4 linked regions of the Caenorhabditis elegans genome follow. The protein of the gene in region 2 interacts with the protein of the main gene of each other region in a pairwise test. Each region holds a gene or a part of one and is shown on either strand. Other genes may lie near its edges. The genes, in order: ttx-1, sorb-1, sas-5 and sap-49.

Evidence for each region.
Region 1: the proteins of sorb-1 (region 2) and ttx-1 interact in binary tests that used the Caenorhabditis elegans proteins (3 or more experiments, as listed by UniProt).
Region 3: the proteins of sorb-1 (region 2) and sas-5 interact in binary tests that used the Caenorhabditis elegans proteins (3 or more experiments, as listed by UniProt).
Region 4: the proteins of sorb-1 (region 2) and sap-49 interact in binary tests that used the Caenorhabditis elegans proteins (3 or more experiments, as listed by UniProt).

What each region holds. Positions count from the first base shown.
Region 1 is NC_003283.11:20,061,116-20,065,836, reverse strand, and holds the start of ttx-1 (Homeobox protein ttx-1), read left to right. Parts: upstream 1-1,660; 5' UTR 1,661-1,662; coding exon 1,663-1,710; intron 1,711-4,416; coding exon of another isoform or gene 4,417-4,420; intron 4,421-4,721. UniProt on the Caenorhabditis elegans protein: Probable transcription factor. Binds to a motif including the sequence 5'-TAA[TG]-3' in regulatory promoter elements.
Region 2 is NC_003282.8:13,748,615-13,753,344, forward strand, and holds the start of sorb-1 (SH3 domain-containing protein), read left to right. Parts: upstream 1-1,718; 5' UTR 1,719-1,721; coding exon 1,722-1,760; intron 1,761-1,808; coding exon 1,809-2,013; intron 2,014-2,038; exon of another isoform or gene 2,039-2,059; intron 2,060-2,244; exon of another isoform or gene 2,245-2,268; intron 2,269-2,428; coding exon 2,429-2,559; intron 2,560-2,570; exon of another isoform or gene 2,571-2,591; intron 2,592-2,645; exon of another isoform or gene 2,646-2,669; intron 2,670-2,882; exon of another isoform or gene 2,883-2,903; intron 2,904-3,141; exon of another isoform or gene 3,142-3,162; intron 3,163-3,175; exon of another isoform or gene 3,176-3,196; intron 3,197-3,312; exon of another isoform or gene 3,313-3,333; intron 3,334-3,775; exon of another isoform or gene 3,776-3,796; intron 3,797-3,866; coding exon 3,867-4,720; intron 4,721-4,730. UniProt on the Caenorhabditis elegans protein: Required for organization of sarcomeres in body wall muscles and for maintaining normal mitochondrial position in myocytes.
Region 3 is NC_003283.11:11,608,712-11,613,115, forward strand, and holds sas-5 (Spindle assembly abnormal protein 5), read left to right. Parts: upstream 1-2,025; 5' UTR 2,026-2,067; coding exon 2,068-2,119; intron 2,120-2,162; coding exon 2,163-2,419; intron 2,420-2,471; coding exon 2,472-2,691; intron 2,692-2,743; coding exon 2,744-2,847; intron 2,848-2,893; coding exon 2,894-3,019; intron 3,020-3,062; coding exon 3,063-3,249; intron 3,250-3,495; coding exon 3,496-3,764; 3' UTR 3,765-3,885; downstream 3,886-4,404. Other genes in the region: piit-1 (BPTI/Kunitz inhibitor domain-containing protein), read right to left, coding at 528-724, 774-890, 940-1,207, 1,337-1,357.
Region 4 is NC_003280.10:8,033,727-8,037,426, reverse strand, and holds sap-49 (Splicing factor 3B subunit 4), read left to right. Parts: upstream 1-1,659; coding exon 1,660-1,914; intron 1,915-1,963; coding exon 1,964-2,733; intron 2,734-2,806; coding exon 2,807-2,948; 3' UTR 2,949-3,177; downstream 3,178-3,700. Other genes in the region: arp-6 (Actin-like protein C08B11.6), read left to right, coding at 81-157, 205-642, 685-840, 886-1,047, 1,093-1,516. UniProt on the Caenorhabditis elegans protein: Subunit of the splicing factor SF3B required for 'A' complex assembly formed by the stable binding of U2 snRNP to the branchpoint sequence (BPS) in pre-mRNA.

The sequences.
Region 1 (4,721 bases), on a different chromosome or scaffold from region 2:
TTCTGTACAAAAATAACACAATTTTTGAAAAGCTGGTTAAAAATTGTATTAAACCCATGTTAGAACATCTTTGTGGTGCTTTTAGAAAAATTGAAAAAATAAGTTTCAAAAATGTTTTTCTCAAAAAAATTTGTTTTTGAAATTTTAACTGATTTTCAAATGCTCATAACTTAGTACACATTGACCCGATAATTATAAAAAATAGATTTTTGTTTAGTTCATGAAAAGTTGTTTAAGATAACGTTAATTTCGAACAACTTGAAAAATAACAAAATAAAAATCACAAGGTTTCAAAAAGTGATACTCGAAAAAAAAATTTTTTTTTTAGTTTTCAAATTTTTTTCTTCAAATAACCAAAATTCAAATTTCCTTCTAGTTTATCAAAAGTTTTCTATCACTATTTTAACACCTACTAAACCCCTTCACTGTTAACACCATAATCACCGTATCCTCTCGTTTCCGGTCTATTTACCCATAACACATGCCTCCCCCCCCCCCCCCCCACCCGCATCGGCACTCGTTTGCAGGGTCCTTTTAAGTGACAGCCGACATATAGAGACTATATACCGCAAAAAGATGGGGAGGAAAGTTTGACAAGTGTATTAACACTTTTCAAGGAGAAAACGGACATCGGTTGGTCAGTCGAGAGTCAATAAAGGATTACCACTTGCTAGGGGTGGAGGGGTACTAGTTTAAAGGCGCATAACTTGGTTTGTTGTGGAGTTGTGAAATGGAATTTATTGTTTTTGGATAGCTGAAAAAATTTGCTACAAGATTGATGTTATAAGTTTTTTGATAGAATTTAGTTGAAAACCTGAAAAATCAAATTGAAAAATAAAAAAAAAAAATTCAAAATTATTATGTTATTTTAAACTGTCATAACATAGTTTGTTGGGATGCTAAAATTTTTCGCTAAACACCTATAATTTGTGAACATGTATAAATTAAACTGAGATCTGGAAAAAATGTATTTTGAAAATATTTTCCAAAAAAATTTTTTTTCCAAAAATTTTTTTTGTTCAATTTTTTAGAATAGATTCTTTTCATGAGCACCCTACAAAGTAATAATTTTTGTTTTGTAGTAGCTGAGACAATTTTTAACAATACTGGTATAACTATGATGTGTTAAAATTAATTTGAAAATTTGAAAATCGCAGTTTAAAAAATTTGAAATTTTGACAATTTTTGAAAAATGGTAAAAAATTCATATCAAATTTTTACTACGTTAAAAATTCTCAAAATTTGAATTTCCAGGTGCTAAAATATTCGAAATATTTGATTTATGCTTCGAAATTTTTTTCAGATTTTTTTTCAGATTCTCAGAATTTTCAGAATTTCCAGACCGCCGCGTTCCCTGAAAAAATATGTCGAAAAATTTCCCAATATTCACAAATTAATTTCCATTATTATTATGATGCATATTAATATTAACATATATATATATATATATATATATATATATATATATATATATATATATATATATATATATATATATATATATATATATATACCTACGTAGGTATAAGATAATCTCTACAGCTCATCCCAGGATCCCCGGGGGGTACTGTAGTAGCTCCATTAGACTGATTGGAAAATGGATCAGAAGCCGCCCCGAAAATCCCTGAAATCCGTATTTCATTTGTCATATATTCCTGCTTCATGTCCTTGACGTCTTCCTCAGCTCCATCCGACTCTATTGTTGAATTGGTAGGTCCGAAAAATAATTTCCAAAAAAAATTTTTTTTCTTAAAAGTTTTAAAGCATTTTTTTCTGCGATTCCTTTAAAGTCCCATTAAATTTTTTTGTGTAGCTTGTAGCCTATGAAGCTTATTAACCATTAAGCCTTTAGCTTAGGATTTCAGATTTCAGATTTCAGATTTCAGATCTCAGATGGTATTTTAGGAGGATAACCCGTTAAAAACCGTTTAGAGGGGCTTGAAGCCGGTTTTTTAGGCAAAACAGCTTGAAAACAATATTAAGCAGTTAAAATAATTTTAATTGAAAATTTAGACAAAAATTCAATGCAAATTTTCGAAAAAAAAAATTTTATTCAAAATTTTTTTTTTTTTTTCAAAAATTTCCAAACTGCTATTTAACTATATACATACCTAAAAACATTTCGAATTGTGCTTTTAGACCTTTAAATTCCCTTGAATTCAAACAATTTGAGTGGCCAGTTACTGTAGTTTAGGCTCCGCCCCTCACCGGGGGCGCCAATGTAAAACCTTCGTAACTTTGCTGAAAATGGACCGTTGAAGCCAGTTTCAATTTTGTTATAAAGCTCAAAAAATGAGCAATTTGAGCAGTATGTATAACGTTCAAAGATTTGTCACCAAAAAAAGTTTTCAAAATGTTTTTTTCAAAACTTTTTTTGAGTTTTTCATAAACTTTGACTAGCCATAACTTTGCTTGAAATGTACATAAAAAGCTTATTTGTAGTAAAATTTAAAGCCCAGATCTGTGAAAAACAAGCACTAGTAAGTATTGTAAACTGCAAAAAAAATCTAAAAACTTTGAAAATTTCAAATTTTCTGATTAAAAAAATTTTTTACCGAATTTTTTCTTTAATTTTCAAGCTATCATAACTTGGTTTAAAATTGTCTCATTTTCGAGGTTTAAGCCACATCCAAAAGAAAAATATATTGACTATAAAAGCAGCTAACGTCACATTGTTTTGGGCAAAAATTCCCGCATTTTTTGTAGATCAAACCGCAATGGGACACTTTATAGATCTGCTCAAAATTAATATACTACCAAGTTACCATATATACTTGAGTCGCCTATTTTCAAGCTTTTAGGTTAGTATAATTTTATTTTGTGAACTGTGCACAATTTTACGCCAACTGTAAAAATTCTAGGTAGGTTAAAAAAAATTCCAAAAAAATTTAGTTTCCCAAAAAAAATTTTTCCTCCAACAAGCAAAAAGCGAAACAGATTCCATTGCTTAACCCAAACTAAATCAATTGTTTTGTTTGATGAGAAAGGTACACACACACGGGAGATTACGGTAGCCAGTACCACACCACAGTCCCAAAATTGGAGGCAAACAGTAGCGCTCATCACGATGTGCTCGCGGAGCAGCGTCACGGATGCGTTGAAATAACAAGACACGCTCCGGTTGATTATATATCAAAAATTACGGTTGCGGGAGATTTGGGGGAAAAATTTTTTTTGCGTTTTTTTGGGGGCCAAAAAAAAAATTTTTTCATAAATATTTCCTCTAAAATGTCTAAATTTCAACTGCATAGTGAATTTTTTTGAAAAACATTGCCTAAATAACACAGTAATAAGCTTTCAAATAGTATAATTAAAGTTAAAATTGACCAAATTTGAAAAAAGTTATGAAGGTTTAAAAATAAAGCTAAAATTAAAAAAAAATTCAACTGAGAGTTTCTAAAACCAAAAAAAAAAAGTTTTCGGTATGTGTATATGGTTTTTAATAGAATTGTTTAAATAATACTTAAAAAGCACAAAAATTAATATTAAAAAGATGAACAAAATTCAAAGTCGGTTGATTTTGAAGAAAGTTATGAAGATTTGAATTTGGGGTTGAAAATTTCAATTTTTTGGAAAATTAAAAAATTAAACAATTGATGTCGAACTTTCAAGATTTTTGCTCAGTTTTTTAACATATATAATTAAAAATTCTATAAGTACGTAAAATAAACATTTAAACAATTCTAGACTTATAAAAATAGATCAATTTAGAAAAAAGTTATGATGGCCTGAAATTTTTTAAAAATGTTTGAAAATTTTTTTATGTCCTTTTCCAAGAATTTCAAAATGCACACAATTTTTTAAAGTGCACAGGATAAGCATAAATAGATCAAAAAAAAATTTCCAAAAAAAAGTTGTTTTTTTGTTGGAAATAATTTCACACTTTCTAACTAAATTTCTTAAAAATAGGGTCAGTGCACAATTAAAACCTACAGTTTCCTTTTAAAAAAATCAATAAAGCAATTAATAAGGCCCCCCCCCCACCCACACCAATTCAAAACTGCAGGGGTGGGCTCCTCCCCCCGCCCGCCGCCGTGTCCCCAACATTGGCCCGAAAAGTGGGCGGAGCCAAACGTGGTACGGTCACAAAGCGTAGAAAGCATGGAAAACAAAGAGAGCGGCGAGAAAAATGGGCGGTTTATTTGGAATGGATTGGCGTTGGCCGAGAAAATCGCATTTTGATGCCCCGTGAGGAGGGATGAGCCCTTCTTTTGGGTGCCCCAGGTATCCCCCCCCCCCACCGGGTTCGAGTGTTTAATACCCTAAGATTTAAGGACATAATCCTAAAAAGCGGATTTTAGCAGCTTTTTCGGGGGGTCCCCTCCCTCCCCCCACCCCATCACCCCGCATACTTACTTGTGCATTTGTTATCACCTGATTCTTTTTTGTATTGGTAACTGCTGCGTAAGTGATACAATGGGTAAGTATGCGGGATAAATTTTAATTTCTTATGTTAGATTTAAATTGAAAATCTTTCCTTCAAAATTTGACATTTCGGTTCGAAAAAGTTTTTAAAAAAATAAAAATAAAAAACAACAAAAAAAATTTGCTGGTTATTCTCATACTTTGAGCACTGATAACTTTACTTAAGCCTGATATTTTCTGCTAATTTTTTAATTTTTTGAGTAGATCACATATTGGGCTTTCGATAACATATAAATTTAAATACAAACCTTTCAAAACTATCAGGAAAATTGACTTTTAAAATTGCAACTTTTTTT
Region 2 (4,730 bases):
TAGATTTGGTAACTAATAAAAAAACTATTTTTAAGCACAATTAGTCTCCTAGGTTTATTCTTCGATGGCAAATTGTGATGCGAACGGCAAAAAACTATAATTTTTTTGAACAAATTTTTTGCAAATTTTAACTGTTTCTATGAAGTGTTAAAGTTTCTGTTCTTCCTTTGAAACTAATAAGCTTGCGCTCCACCTTTTTTTAAATACAACGGTTACTTCTGGCCAAAAGAGTACTAAATCAAAGGTGTGATGATCATGATCATAGTGATGAAAAAGTTTGTCTGGTCACTTGAGAGCAGTTCCATCTTCTCTCCTCTCATTCTCTTTCTCTTCAGCAGGTCCATCCGGCAATTGCTTAACAAAAATTGAAAGAAGAAAGACGAAAAGTGTGTAAAGTCATGTATATAGTGAGCAAAAAGATAGAGAGACGCAGACACTGAGAGAATGTGATTCTGTTTCGTGTCCCGGGGACAGAAGACGCAATGAGGGACATTCTTAGTTTCTCTAAGTGTGGCTCTCGCAACAATAATATCACTCGATTTACTGATAAAATTTTTCTTATTTTGGTTTTTTTGTCGTATTTCAAAATAACAACTTTTCGTAAAACCTAGTACTGTTTCGGGCTTGTTAACTATTACAACTGTGAAACGGTAATTTTTATTATTTTAATTTTCAATAATTTTAGTTTTCAGTGAAATACATAACTGATTTTGCAACTCCTACAATCATTGAGTTCTAATTATTTAAACTTAATGAAAGTGTAAAAAATCGTAGAAATAATTTTTTGGGTCGAACCCCAAATTCTGATAGATGAAATGTGGCCTTTTCCCTGTTATAAAAAATTTTTAACCTAAAAGTTTTACTATTCTTGAAAAAACTGCTCAAGTGACCAGACAACATTTTTCAAAAGTTGTACGTCTTACATACTCATGGACAAAGGTGGAATAGATTTGAAAATGTTGTAAAAGCTTTACCATTTCAAAGAAACAGTATAAAATTTAAACACTTGTTCCAGAATGTTATTTTCATTTTTAAAATTAAAAAATTACAAGTGTCTTTTCTATTTTAAGAAAACAAAAATTAGCATTTTTCAATTCCAGCAATGGCAAAATTGTGATTGCCGTGCACATTTTACCCGGTCTTGGAAGCTATTTTTAAAAACTAGATACATTCTCATTCAAGTCTCAAAAGGTGTTCAAAACTTTAAAAACAATAACTTTAACACAAGCATTAACATTTCAACAAAAATTATGATTTTAAGGATTGCGTCAATTGAACGTGAATCCATTGTGGGAGCTTTAACACTTAAATGAAACAGTCAAAACAAAAATTGACAATATGGTCATTTAAGTACCATCCTTATAATTCCAAAAATGCATTCTACTGGCGCTCCTAAATGTCAAATTTAGTTGGAAATTGGGTTCAAAATCTTTATAGAATTTAAAAATCTAGTGAGAAAATATTTTGAAAATTAAAACAAATTTTCAAGATGTCTGAAGTTTTCTGGAAAATGGAAAATATTCTTGAATAGTGTACATCCCATGAATCTGCAATTATTGTCAGATTGGGTAAAGTTCGAGAACTATAAAAACTGTTACAGTACAAATTTCAAAAAAAAATCCCATTTCTGACAGAACATATTAGTCTTCCGTATTTCACATTTTTCATTTATTCTTTCCTTTATTTTGTTATACAATTCTTCAAACTCCCATATTCCAGGAATGATGCATCATCCTCATCCATTCGGGTCAAACCTGGCGGTAAGAGCTTTCAATTAATCTACTCCACAATCCCTAATTAATTTCCAGAACTCATCAGAACCACAACAGCCATCTGGTCAATATCTAAATCCTGCAGCAGATGCCTACAACTTTGACACCTTTGAAGATTCTGATAAATTCTCACCGAAGGGAAATGTGGCGGCGTTGAGAAATGTGATACATGGGCAGTTGGATATGAAGACACCAACTGGAAATAGTTCCAGATATCAGAAACCAGCGCCTCCGCCTGTTGGTGAGTTTTGTTTTTCTAGGCGTTCTATGTATTAAGCTACGAAATAATAGTTTTCGGAAAGTAACACATAGCTCATATGAATTCCTTGAAACTGTAAAAAATGTTAGTCAACAAGATAGTCAACAAATACACGATTGGCTGAGACCTGGTACCTCGACGGACCTGGAAGATGAAGCAGCAATTTTGCAATTAGATTTTTGTCATTTTTTCTATTAATAGTAAGATATTTTGGTTTCTGTCCGAATGCTGCAAACAGTAACAATAAAGTTTTGAAGTAGTCTTATAAACTATCTAAAACTGTTTTTTTTGTATAATTTTTTCTGATTTTGCGGAAAACAACTCCTGATGTCTCTCCTAACCAGCAATATTCAAAAAATCCAAATGTTTTGATGTTCAATAAAATAATAAATTCCAGACTCAACTCCTTCCTGGGCCAAAAATGTAAAAGTATACGAACCAAATGGATATGTGGATCCACATCTTAACAAGCATAATATGGGAAGAGTACTTGATGGTCCTGTCAATCCAAATAAATATTTTCAAGGAGTGAGTTTTATTTTGAAAAAAACAGCGATACAATAAAGCAACGAACTTTTCAAACTGAAAACAATGTGCTGAAATAGTTAAATTTAGTTATTACTGACCATTTTTTACTGATATTATTTTCTTTTTGGCTTTTTTTACAAGCTATGAGTGAAACACGTGAGTTTTTTTCTAGAAATTATTATCGACTAAAGCTTCACTAAAAATTGTAAAATATGAGCAAAATTATTTTGAGTTTTGAAGTTTTCTACTTTTCAGAAATACAATTCACAAGTAATAATAGCTTCTATATACGAAATTTCAAAAATTTAACAGTTTTTAAGTTAAAAAAGAACAAACCGATCAGATCAAACCGGAAAATTGTAAATGTCCTAAATGGCTTTCACGAAACAGTAGAACTTTCTTTTTAATTTTCCGAAAACACAACTTTTCAGTTCTATTTTGAAAATTGTACATTCCGGGAAGTTTATGAAAAATCCTTATGTAGATAAAAATTTACGCAAAATTGTTTTAAAAAACGTTAAAATTTTGTGTACAGTTTGAAGATTTGCAAAAATTTAAAACAATGAAAATACTTTTTCGTGTTGTCTATGAAAACTACATTACTATTTTTTTGTGATAGGAAAACTTATAGGAAAAATGTTTTGAGTACTTTTTAAAACTTGCAAATGCAAATGACCTGAAAAATCGCCAAGACATTTCATGTTGTTCTAAAAAATTTAGTGCTTATTCTCTTACTTAGACTTGTTGCGACACACTGAAGATTGAAACCAATAAACATTTTTCGCTTGTTCTATTGTCATGACATAAAATTCCTGAAACAGAAAAAATTGTGGTTTCTATTTTTTTTTTTTCAATTTTCTATGAAAATTGGGTCAAATAGTGTCTGAAAGTTGTCATTTGCTGAAAAAGTTTCACGGCAAACCCTAACTCAGGCACTATTTGAGATAATTTTCGAACTTTGCAGAAAAAATAAATATCATTATCAGATAGAACTCATAGAACAAACCTTGTCCTACATTTCTGTAATGATTTTTGATACAAAAAAAATATAATCACCAAACTAAAATACGTAGGTTTGTACATTTGCTGAAAAGATTTTCCGCGCAGAACTGATTCTAACCAGGAAAATCAATAAAATTATAAAGTTTTATTCAATTCGGTGTTGATACCTCCAATTTCTTGCAAACGGAATGCCAAAATCAGTTACTTGAAATTCGAAGCGGGGAAATTTGAAAGACCGACTCTATTAACATCTTCGCATTATGTTATGAAGTTGAAACAGCAGAATTATTTTTTGCAACTTCCAGGTTCCACCGGCCAGTTACAGTCAAGTAAAGCACAATGAGTCGAAACCACCAGTGCCTCCTTCCACAAAGCCTCCACACTCTGCTGCTCAAGCCCTTCAGGCTCAGGTCCTACAGAGCTCCAAAGCCCCCTCTCAACCCCAGCAATCTCAAAAAACGTCCTACCGAATCCCGTATGACGTGGCGCTCGATCCACGTCATCACCTCGGAGAATTCGACATTGATGACAGTGCATCAATTATTTCCTCGTGTATCTCGACATTTGGAGAATCTTCAGAAATTGCTGGATTTTCTGCGGCAGCCGAGCAACGGCATCTCTATGAGCAATATAGGAAAAAGTTAATGGAAGAGAAAAATGAATTGAAAGAGGGAAGTGAGACACCGTGTGTATCTTTGTCTGAAAAAGTGATGACGTCATCGACTGAAAATTTGAAAAATGGAAATAATCAGCAGAATCAACAACCTGAGCCTCAGCCTCCATCAAGCTCAATATTCAATTCAGAACTCACACCGTTTGGCCACGTGGCTCCTGTTGCTAAACAATTTGAACCAACAAATTTTCCACCATTTTCTCCAGAAAAAGAGAGTGAAATCAAGAGATCTATCGATTTGGAAAGTTCCCAACTTCTCGTAAAATCAAAATCCCCGGCTCCCTACTCTACAAGCTCGACGGATCATTATGGAACTATTCGAAGGAAGCATAAACCAGTGGCAATTGACCTTTCCAAGTCATCACCCAACTTGGCGAGTCAATCGCCGAGCAATTTATTTTTTGGAGCCAGCTTTGAGGAGAAGCAAAATCGATCGCCGATGACATCAACTCCGTCTTATAAAGAACAAGGATTCAAAAATGATAGGTGAGTTGAT
Region 3 (4,404 bases), on a different chromosome or scaffold from region 2:
AGTTACTTCCGTGTTGAGTTTGCAAACGAGGTTCAGATAAAGAGAAAAAAGGAAGTATTTCTATAGATATTTTTCTGTAAAATTTTTTACTGGTTATAGATGTGAGTTTGATATTATAGGTGTGGGTCGCAATACTATTAGAGAAAATGGGGTATTATTTTTAGTGATAGATTTTACTTTAAACTAGGGCTGAATAATAAACGAACCTGGTTGTACTTTGATTGAAAACCATACTCTTGACATGGAGACAAATTACAGGATAAATATAACTGAAGTTTTGTAGTTCCCAAAAGGAAAAACGTTGCCTTAATGTATATAAATTATTATTTTTGCATCACATTCAAAATTATTTTTTAGATTATATAAAAAATATTTAAAAGAAATGAGATAAAAATTGTTTATGAGTGGATGATAATACAGTTAAATCATACTTTGAAAATTACCCGAAAAAAAACTACAAAAATGCCAACTCTTAAAAATAACTTGTTTTTCATAATACAGATAATTCCAGGAATTCAAATATCGTCTTATTGGGAAGTTCTTGTTTGATTTCCACAGGTTGCCATACATGAGTTGTAGTTGGGGAAGTTGTTGGCATTTCCGAGAGTTCCATAGAATGAGAAACGCATGCAAGTTGTGTATTTTGGAACCCAGAAGTATTTGTCACTTTTCTCTCCTCCGACAGCAAACTTTCCAGAGTCATATGTCAAGTTGCAAAGATAGTCTGTGAATTTGAAATTTAAGAATAAAACATTTAAACATTTGATGCTTACTGGATGTTGGACAACAGAATGATTGAATACAGTTATGACCCTGTGGGCAAGTATTAGCTCCTGCTGAGCATCTCACTGGTGTCAAGTGGTCAGTGTCATAGGTAGCAGAGCAAGCAGCTTAAAATTTTTAGAATAATTGCCATAGTTACTAGCTAACCTCACTTACACTTCATTTGAACGGTTTCATCACTTGACTCCGAGTCTCTTTGAGCTTGAGCATTGGTACAAGCTGATCTACACTCTTGTGCACTACTGAACCGGTTACTATTACCACCACATCCCTGATACATGAATGGTTGACACGTTCCAAGTCTTGGAAGATAATAGAACATTCTAGAAGAACTGTTCTCAGCGCAAGTATTTCCAGAGTCCCGTGCAGCAAAACAGTCAACAGAAGTCGATTGAGCCGCAGTGAAAGACAATAGGGAGAGAATCTAAATAATAATTACATTTAAATTAACTGAAAGTCGTATGTAGATCTAAAGTAGATCTATTTCTGGATTTAGTAGTTTTTAATTTAACTAAGTTTCAAACCTCATAATTAAAAGGATTTTAAAACTCACCACAGCCAATCTAAGTGCCATTTTAGTTTTGCCACGTGAAAATGTTGTACTCGAGTTCTGGATTTCTTTTAAATAGGCCATCGAGATTCCCGCCCCTTTAAACTATTGTACTGGCAATCGTGTAAGCTCTTGCTACCGTGCAACACCACCAACAGTCAAATCCAAATTCCAGTTTTGATCTGACCCCACGGAGCAAACATTGTGTGTATAATGTACATATACTGTTGGCTCCTTCGCACTGACTTTTTTACCACGCTGATTTATTTTGAGACACTTTTTCTGTGTCTCGCTGTCTATCTGTGTACAGAGGAAAAATTTTCTCGGAATTTTTAGAAAACCAGTCGGGAGTGTTTACTTGTTTTTTAATACTTTTAATACATTGGAAAATTGTGTAGGTTGAGAAGATTTTTTGTTTGAAAATCTGTCAATCTAAATTTGTTCAACTGATCAGGAACATTCTTCTAAATTGCAGATAATATGAGAAAGTAGAAAATTCTGTTGTTTTATAATAATATCATTTAATTTAATTACAATCTTCTTTCGTCCCCGAATGGTCATGCGAAAAGAAATGTGAGAAAATATACAATGTGCGCGCTCATCTTGCAAAAAATGTGCGCGGGGGTTGCAGCAGAGGCCACGCCCCCGCGACACCAACGCGCCAATTTTAAAGAAAAAACGTTTTATTTTCCAATTTCATAGTTTTAACAGAAATGACCTCGCATTAAGCGGGAATGAATAATTACGACGACTTACCCTGCTCTATTTACTTCAAAAAACCAACTGGTGAGTTGTTTTCGATATAAAAGTGTTAAAATTGCCAATTTAGTCCAGGAGTTTGTGGATCAACCGAGAGTCTTCGAAGATTCTGAAGTCCCTGCCTTTCAAGAAGTTCTTCAGCTTCCACAAGAAAGGACAAAACCCCCAGTACCATCTACGCAGCCAATTGTCGCCGCTGTAGAAGTAGCCAAGAAAAAATCGTGTCTTTCGGCTCCGAAACCAAGAAAAGAGCCACCTTCGCATCCAGCGCTTCGCCAAAAAACAGTTGCGTTTGGAAAAACAGTTAACGTTTCCCAAACTGTCGAGGTAATTAAATTAAAATTGTTCCATGGCATAATTCCACTAAATTATCTTTCAGGGAACATCTCGGAATTCAAAAAAAGTGCTTGCTTCAACAATGTCTGCCCAAAATACGACAACGACTGAAGAACAGGCAGCTGAAAACTGGCGGGACGCTATGAAAACAGAACTGCAAACGATACGAACAGAGATTCAAGAAGAAACGGCCCGGCGACAAGAAGAGCTCAATGCTCAAAATCTTGTTAAAATGCAAGAATTGATGTCAAACTTCTTTCAGAGTATGTTTGAATATATATTATCCCATAAATTCAATAAATAATAATTTTTCAGAGATAACGATTCCTAAACAGCAAGCGATCGAACCAGTTGAAAAAGACAAAGAAAATTTTCATGAGAGTCCTCGTCAATCAAGACAGCAGAAGCCAGCTAGTAAAGTGAGAATTCAGATAAAAAATAAATCAAAAAGTACTCCGTTTTAAGATCGCTTCGGCACGAGAAGTTATCAAAAGAGACGGTGTTATACCTCCAGAAGCATTAACAATTATTGAGCAACGCCTTCGCTCGGACCCAATGTTTCGCCAACAAATTGATAATGTTCTAGCAGACGTGAGTAGTGTATTTAAATCCGATAGAAATAGTTTGTTTTCAGGCTGAATGTGATGCTAACAGAGCTGCATATTCTCCACCACCACCAATGTCTGAAGTTAGATACGGATCTGGTGTGAATCCTGCTTTGATGAGAGAAACACTTACGGTAGAACGAAGTATTCGATATGACAACGGACTCGCTTCTATTGATTCTAGACAGTGGACAAATGAGAGACGTGATAATCGTGGTAATTTAATTTTTCAATATTCAAACACAGAATTCGTCCGCTAGAATTGTATAAATATAATAATTCACGCATTCCAAAATGTATCAAATAATTCATTAAAAATGTTTGAAAGTTGATAACCATTCGTAGTGAAAACACTTTATACTACGAAATGATTTTAAGATGAAATCCTCAAATCAGTTGAAAAATTTGAATTAAAAGTCAAAAATGAGAAGTCTCTTCACTATTCAAAAAAACCTTTTCTAGCTCCTGACTCATACCGTACCTACGAACCGGATCAACCATGTCACTCACTCTATCAAAAGGGTCAAAGTATTAGCTATTATCCGTCAGAAGCAGCTGGAAAAACGACAGCTAGAAACAATCGAACTGGATACTACGTGGAAGATTCATCAGATCATGAAGAGGATGTTGTAGTCAATAAACGGGGACAGAACTATCACGAGCAAGCGGTACCTGAGACTCCAGCTGAACGAGAACGCCGTATTCGTGAAAAATACGCTCGCAGGAAATGATATCAAATGTGTTTAACTCTTGACGTTTTAAAATTATCATTAATCACTACGTGTAATGTCTGTGAATTGTACTAAAACCATTACTTCCAGCTGTGACCTGAATAAATTTTGAATTTCATCGATTCTTTCTCATTTGATCATATGATCGAGATAGTCTCGAACTTAATTCGATTTTCAGCACTTCACACTTCTGTCATTGTTTGACAAGTACCAACTTGACCTTTCCATCGGTCTCCTTCAAGAGTTTCATTTGTGTACGAAATAAAAATGAAAATTCTAGTAGTGTACGTGTTAATTGGAGAAGTTCTACGAATTTTTAAACTACAAGTTCATAACTTTTAAAACAAACTGTTATGGCATGTACACATGTGTTCCTGTATTAAAACACTTGCTGTCTTCAGACTTTCCAATTGAAAAGATACACTTTCACTTGATTTTCCATATGCAAGCAAGCGTTTTGAACTATCACTACCTTTCTCTATTTTTGATTTCTCTTCCTGTTGACTTTTGCACCCGAATTTTTTGAATTTCTTTTGTCAAAATCTAGTAAATATTGACATTGATTATTTATAGAGAGTAGGTGGAAAATTAGAAAATATAAAAGATTAGGTGTGTCTTGTTCATCTTTGCAAATTTGTTT
Region 4 (3,700 bases), on a different chromosome or scaffold from region 2:
TTATCTTATAGGTTACCACCCTACTCTTAATTTTTTATCTGGAAAAATCACACTACTCATTCTGTGAAATAATTTTGTAGATGAGTTTAACAACAATTATTTTTGACAATGGTGGCCATAATATGAAGATAGGTACGATAGACTCAGAGTCCCCTAGGTTTGTTTCTAATAAGAAAAATATCAATATAATTTAAATATTTTCAGATTAGTTCCAAACAGTATTGTGAAAGCGAAACATGAAAAGAAGCGGGTTTTTGTTGCACACGAGCAAGAAGAATGTTCGGACAAGTTTTCGCTATTCTATGTGCGACCAATTGAAAGAGGATATGTGGTGAATTGGGATACACAACAGCAAATCTGGGAGAAAACGTTCGGATCTATGGATGTGGAGGCGTCTACTTCTCGAATTGCACTCACAGATAATAACTATCTAATCCCAGCTCTTCCTGATGTCTCTAGTGAAATATTGTTTGATTATTTCGGCTTCACAGAGGTACACAAAACGTCTGCTTCGACTTTGGTGGCAAAACATTCAAATAAAATCAACAACGAAAAGTGTGCAGTTGTTGTGGATTCCGGGTTTTCATGGACTACGGTAGCTTCATTTGTGAATGGAATGCTTATTCAGGATAGTGTTATAAGGTTGGAAAGTGTTTTCAAACTACAATTAGCTTTATTTTTAAGGATCGATGTTGGTGGAAAAGCGTTAACAAATAAATTGAAGGACTGGGTATCTTACCGACAATTGAATGTTAGCGAAGAAACATACGTTATCAACGAATGTAAAGAGGATCTTTGCTTCGTCTCACAAAATTTTGATGAGAGCATGAAAGAGGCTAGGTAGGTATAAAAATGAAGAATACTAATTATATTGTTTTTATTCAGGAATCGATTTCAAGAAAATACAACAATGAAACGATATATTATGCCGGATTTCCACTCGACATTCCGAGGTGTAGTGAAAGACGTTAAAGAGCCACACGATCCACAAATTCCTTCAATTCATTTGGGAGTTGAGAGATTCGCCATTCCGGAAATCTTATTCAAGTTAGTAATTTCGGCAAAAAGTATAAACTATTTTATCTGTTGCAGTCCCTCGGATATTGATATTGATCAATGTGGTGTCGCAGAAGCTGTTATCGAGAGTATTTGTCAATGTCCAGAAGCATTACGGCCTGCTCTGGCAGAAAATATCATCGTGATTGGCGGATCGTCGTGCTTCCCAGGATTTCGTGAACGCCTGGAACGAGAAGTTCGATCAATGCTGCCAGCAGAATATGGATTGAATGTTTCAAATGACGTAATAAACCCACAAACTCATTCCTGGCATTGTGGTCAAGAGCTTCTCACTGCTTCTAAAGTTCCATGGATCAACCGAAAAGATTGGGACGAACGAGGAGACTCGTTGGAGTTCTCTAACTTTTTCCAGACTCTTGTGCAATCCGATGAACTGAAGGGAACTCGTAATTTCGATGATCAGAGGGAGAAATCCCCAAAGGAAGATGAAGATTTCTGAACTGATCTCTTATCACTTTAAAATAAACATGTTTTATATATATATATGCCAAAATATTTTTTTTTGAGATCAGAGGTTTATTTTCCTTTGTTGGACTTATTTTTTTTCATGTGCTGTTCATTTTTTAAAAATCAATATTTCAGATGTCAGCAGGGCCGATAGTGGAAAGAAACCAAGATGCAACAATTTACGTTGGTGGATTAGACGAGAAGGTGTCAGAGTCCATCCTATGGGAACTTATGGTACAAGCAGGACCTGTTGTCAGTGTCAATATGCCGAAAGATCGAGTAACTGCCAATCATCAAGGTTTCGGATTTGTGGAGTTCATGGGAGAAGAAGATGCAGATTATGCAATCAAAATTTTAAACATGATCAAATTATACGGAAAGCCAATTAAAGTAAGCTATCAAATATGTTTAGTTTATTATTTAAAAAAATAATATTCAGGTGAACAAAGCATCGGCTCATGAAAAGAATATGGATGTTGGTGCAAATATTTTTGTTGGAAATCTGGATCCAGAAGTCGATGAGAAATTGCTATACGATACGTTCAGTGCTTTTGGAGTTATTCTTCAAGTTCCAAAAATCATGAGAGATGTTGATTCGGGAACGTCTAAAGGATTCGCGTTCATCAACTTCGCTTCATTCGAAGCTTCAGATACAGCATTAGAAGCTATGAACGGCCAATTTCTTTGCAATCGAGCTATCACCGTCTCATACGCTTTCAAGAGAGATTCAAAAGGAGAAAGACACGGAACAGCAGCGGAGCGTATGCTGGCTGCACAAAATCCACTGTTTCCAAAAGACCGGCCACATCAAGTATTTTCTGACGTTCCACTTGGTGTTCCAGCTAACACACCTTTGGCCATGCCAGGAGTTCATGCTGCTATTGCTGCTCATGCAACAGGACGCCCAGGCTATCAACCACCACCATTGATGGGAATGGCTCAATCTGGATATCAAGGACAATATCCACCAGTACCACCACCTCCACCAAGTGTGACACCAATGCCACCTCCAATGCCGCCAACGCCAGGAATGACTCCTCGTCCACCACCACCACCATCATCTGGAATGTGGCCGCCACCACCACCGCCTCCACCAGGAAGAACTCCAGGACCACCAGGTATGCCTGGTATGCCTCCACCACCACCACCATCACGATTTGGTCCTCCAGGAATGGGTGGAATGCCGCCGCCACCTCCACCAGGGATGAGGTATATATTTTTGTTCTAAGTTGAAAATATCGTTCATGTTCACCGTTCGAACTTACACAATTTTTCTTTTCAGATATCCGGGAGGCATGCCGCCACCACCACCGCCGCGATATCCTTCTGCTGGACCAGGAATGTATCCACCTCCACCACCAAGTCGTCCTCCAGCACCACCATCTGGTCATGGAATGATCCCACCTCCACCACCTCCATCATAATTACTCGATCGGATTGGAATACCTTAATCTTTATTTTCAGAAACTTTTGTTTTTCACGAAAAGATCTTCATTTCAGCTGTTCTAAACTTTTACATTTTAAATTATTTCGTTTTATTCTCATTCCATAAACCAATTTCTATTTGATGTCAATTCAACTTCAATCATATTCCACAACCATCATCTCCTCCTCTCTCTTATCAATCTCATCACAATCACACCTTTCTTTTCCAATTACCACTTCGATACGTCAAGTCACGTTCTTCAGCGGTTTTTTGTTGCATTTTAATGTTCTCACACAATCTGTACGCCTTTTTCCACTATTTAAGACATCATTGATGTTCGCTGGAGCGGCAAATCCTATGAACTATAGGCAAGTTCAACGCCTAATAGAGACGTAGAGTGTAAGTGAGGTTTCCGGGAGAATTCGTCTCGCACCTTCCTCTCATTGATTCTATCAACGAACGGAACGAGTTAAACTAAAAAAAAAAGTGTAGAGAAATAGAGAAAGAAGGGGAGAGAAAGAACATGGACAATGACTGTATTCAACCGGAGGACACACCAAAACTAATTAGTCACCCGAAAACATCACCTACAATCATCACATTGCTTCTTCGCACTTTTTCCAGAAATATTATTCCAGTATCATTTTGATTTTCTCCAATTCAGTGTTTTTGTGTTGTAGAATTTTCAGTTTATTATTTTTGGAGTTCCGAGAGTATCTTCAGTTCAAATTTTGCACATTTATCTCCTTA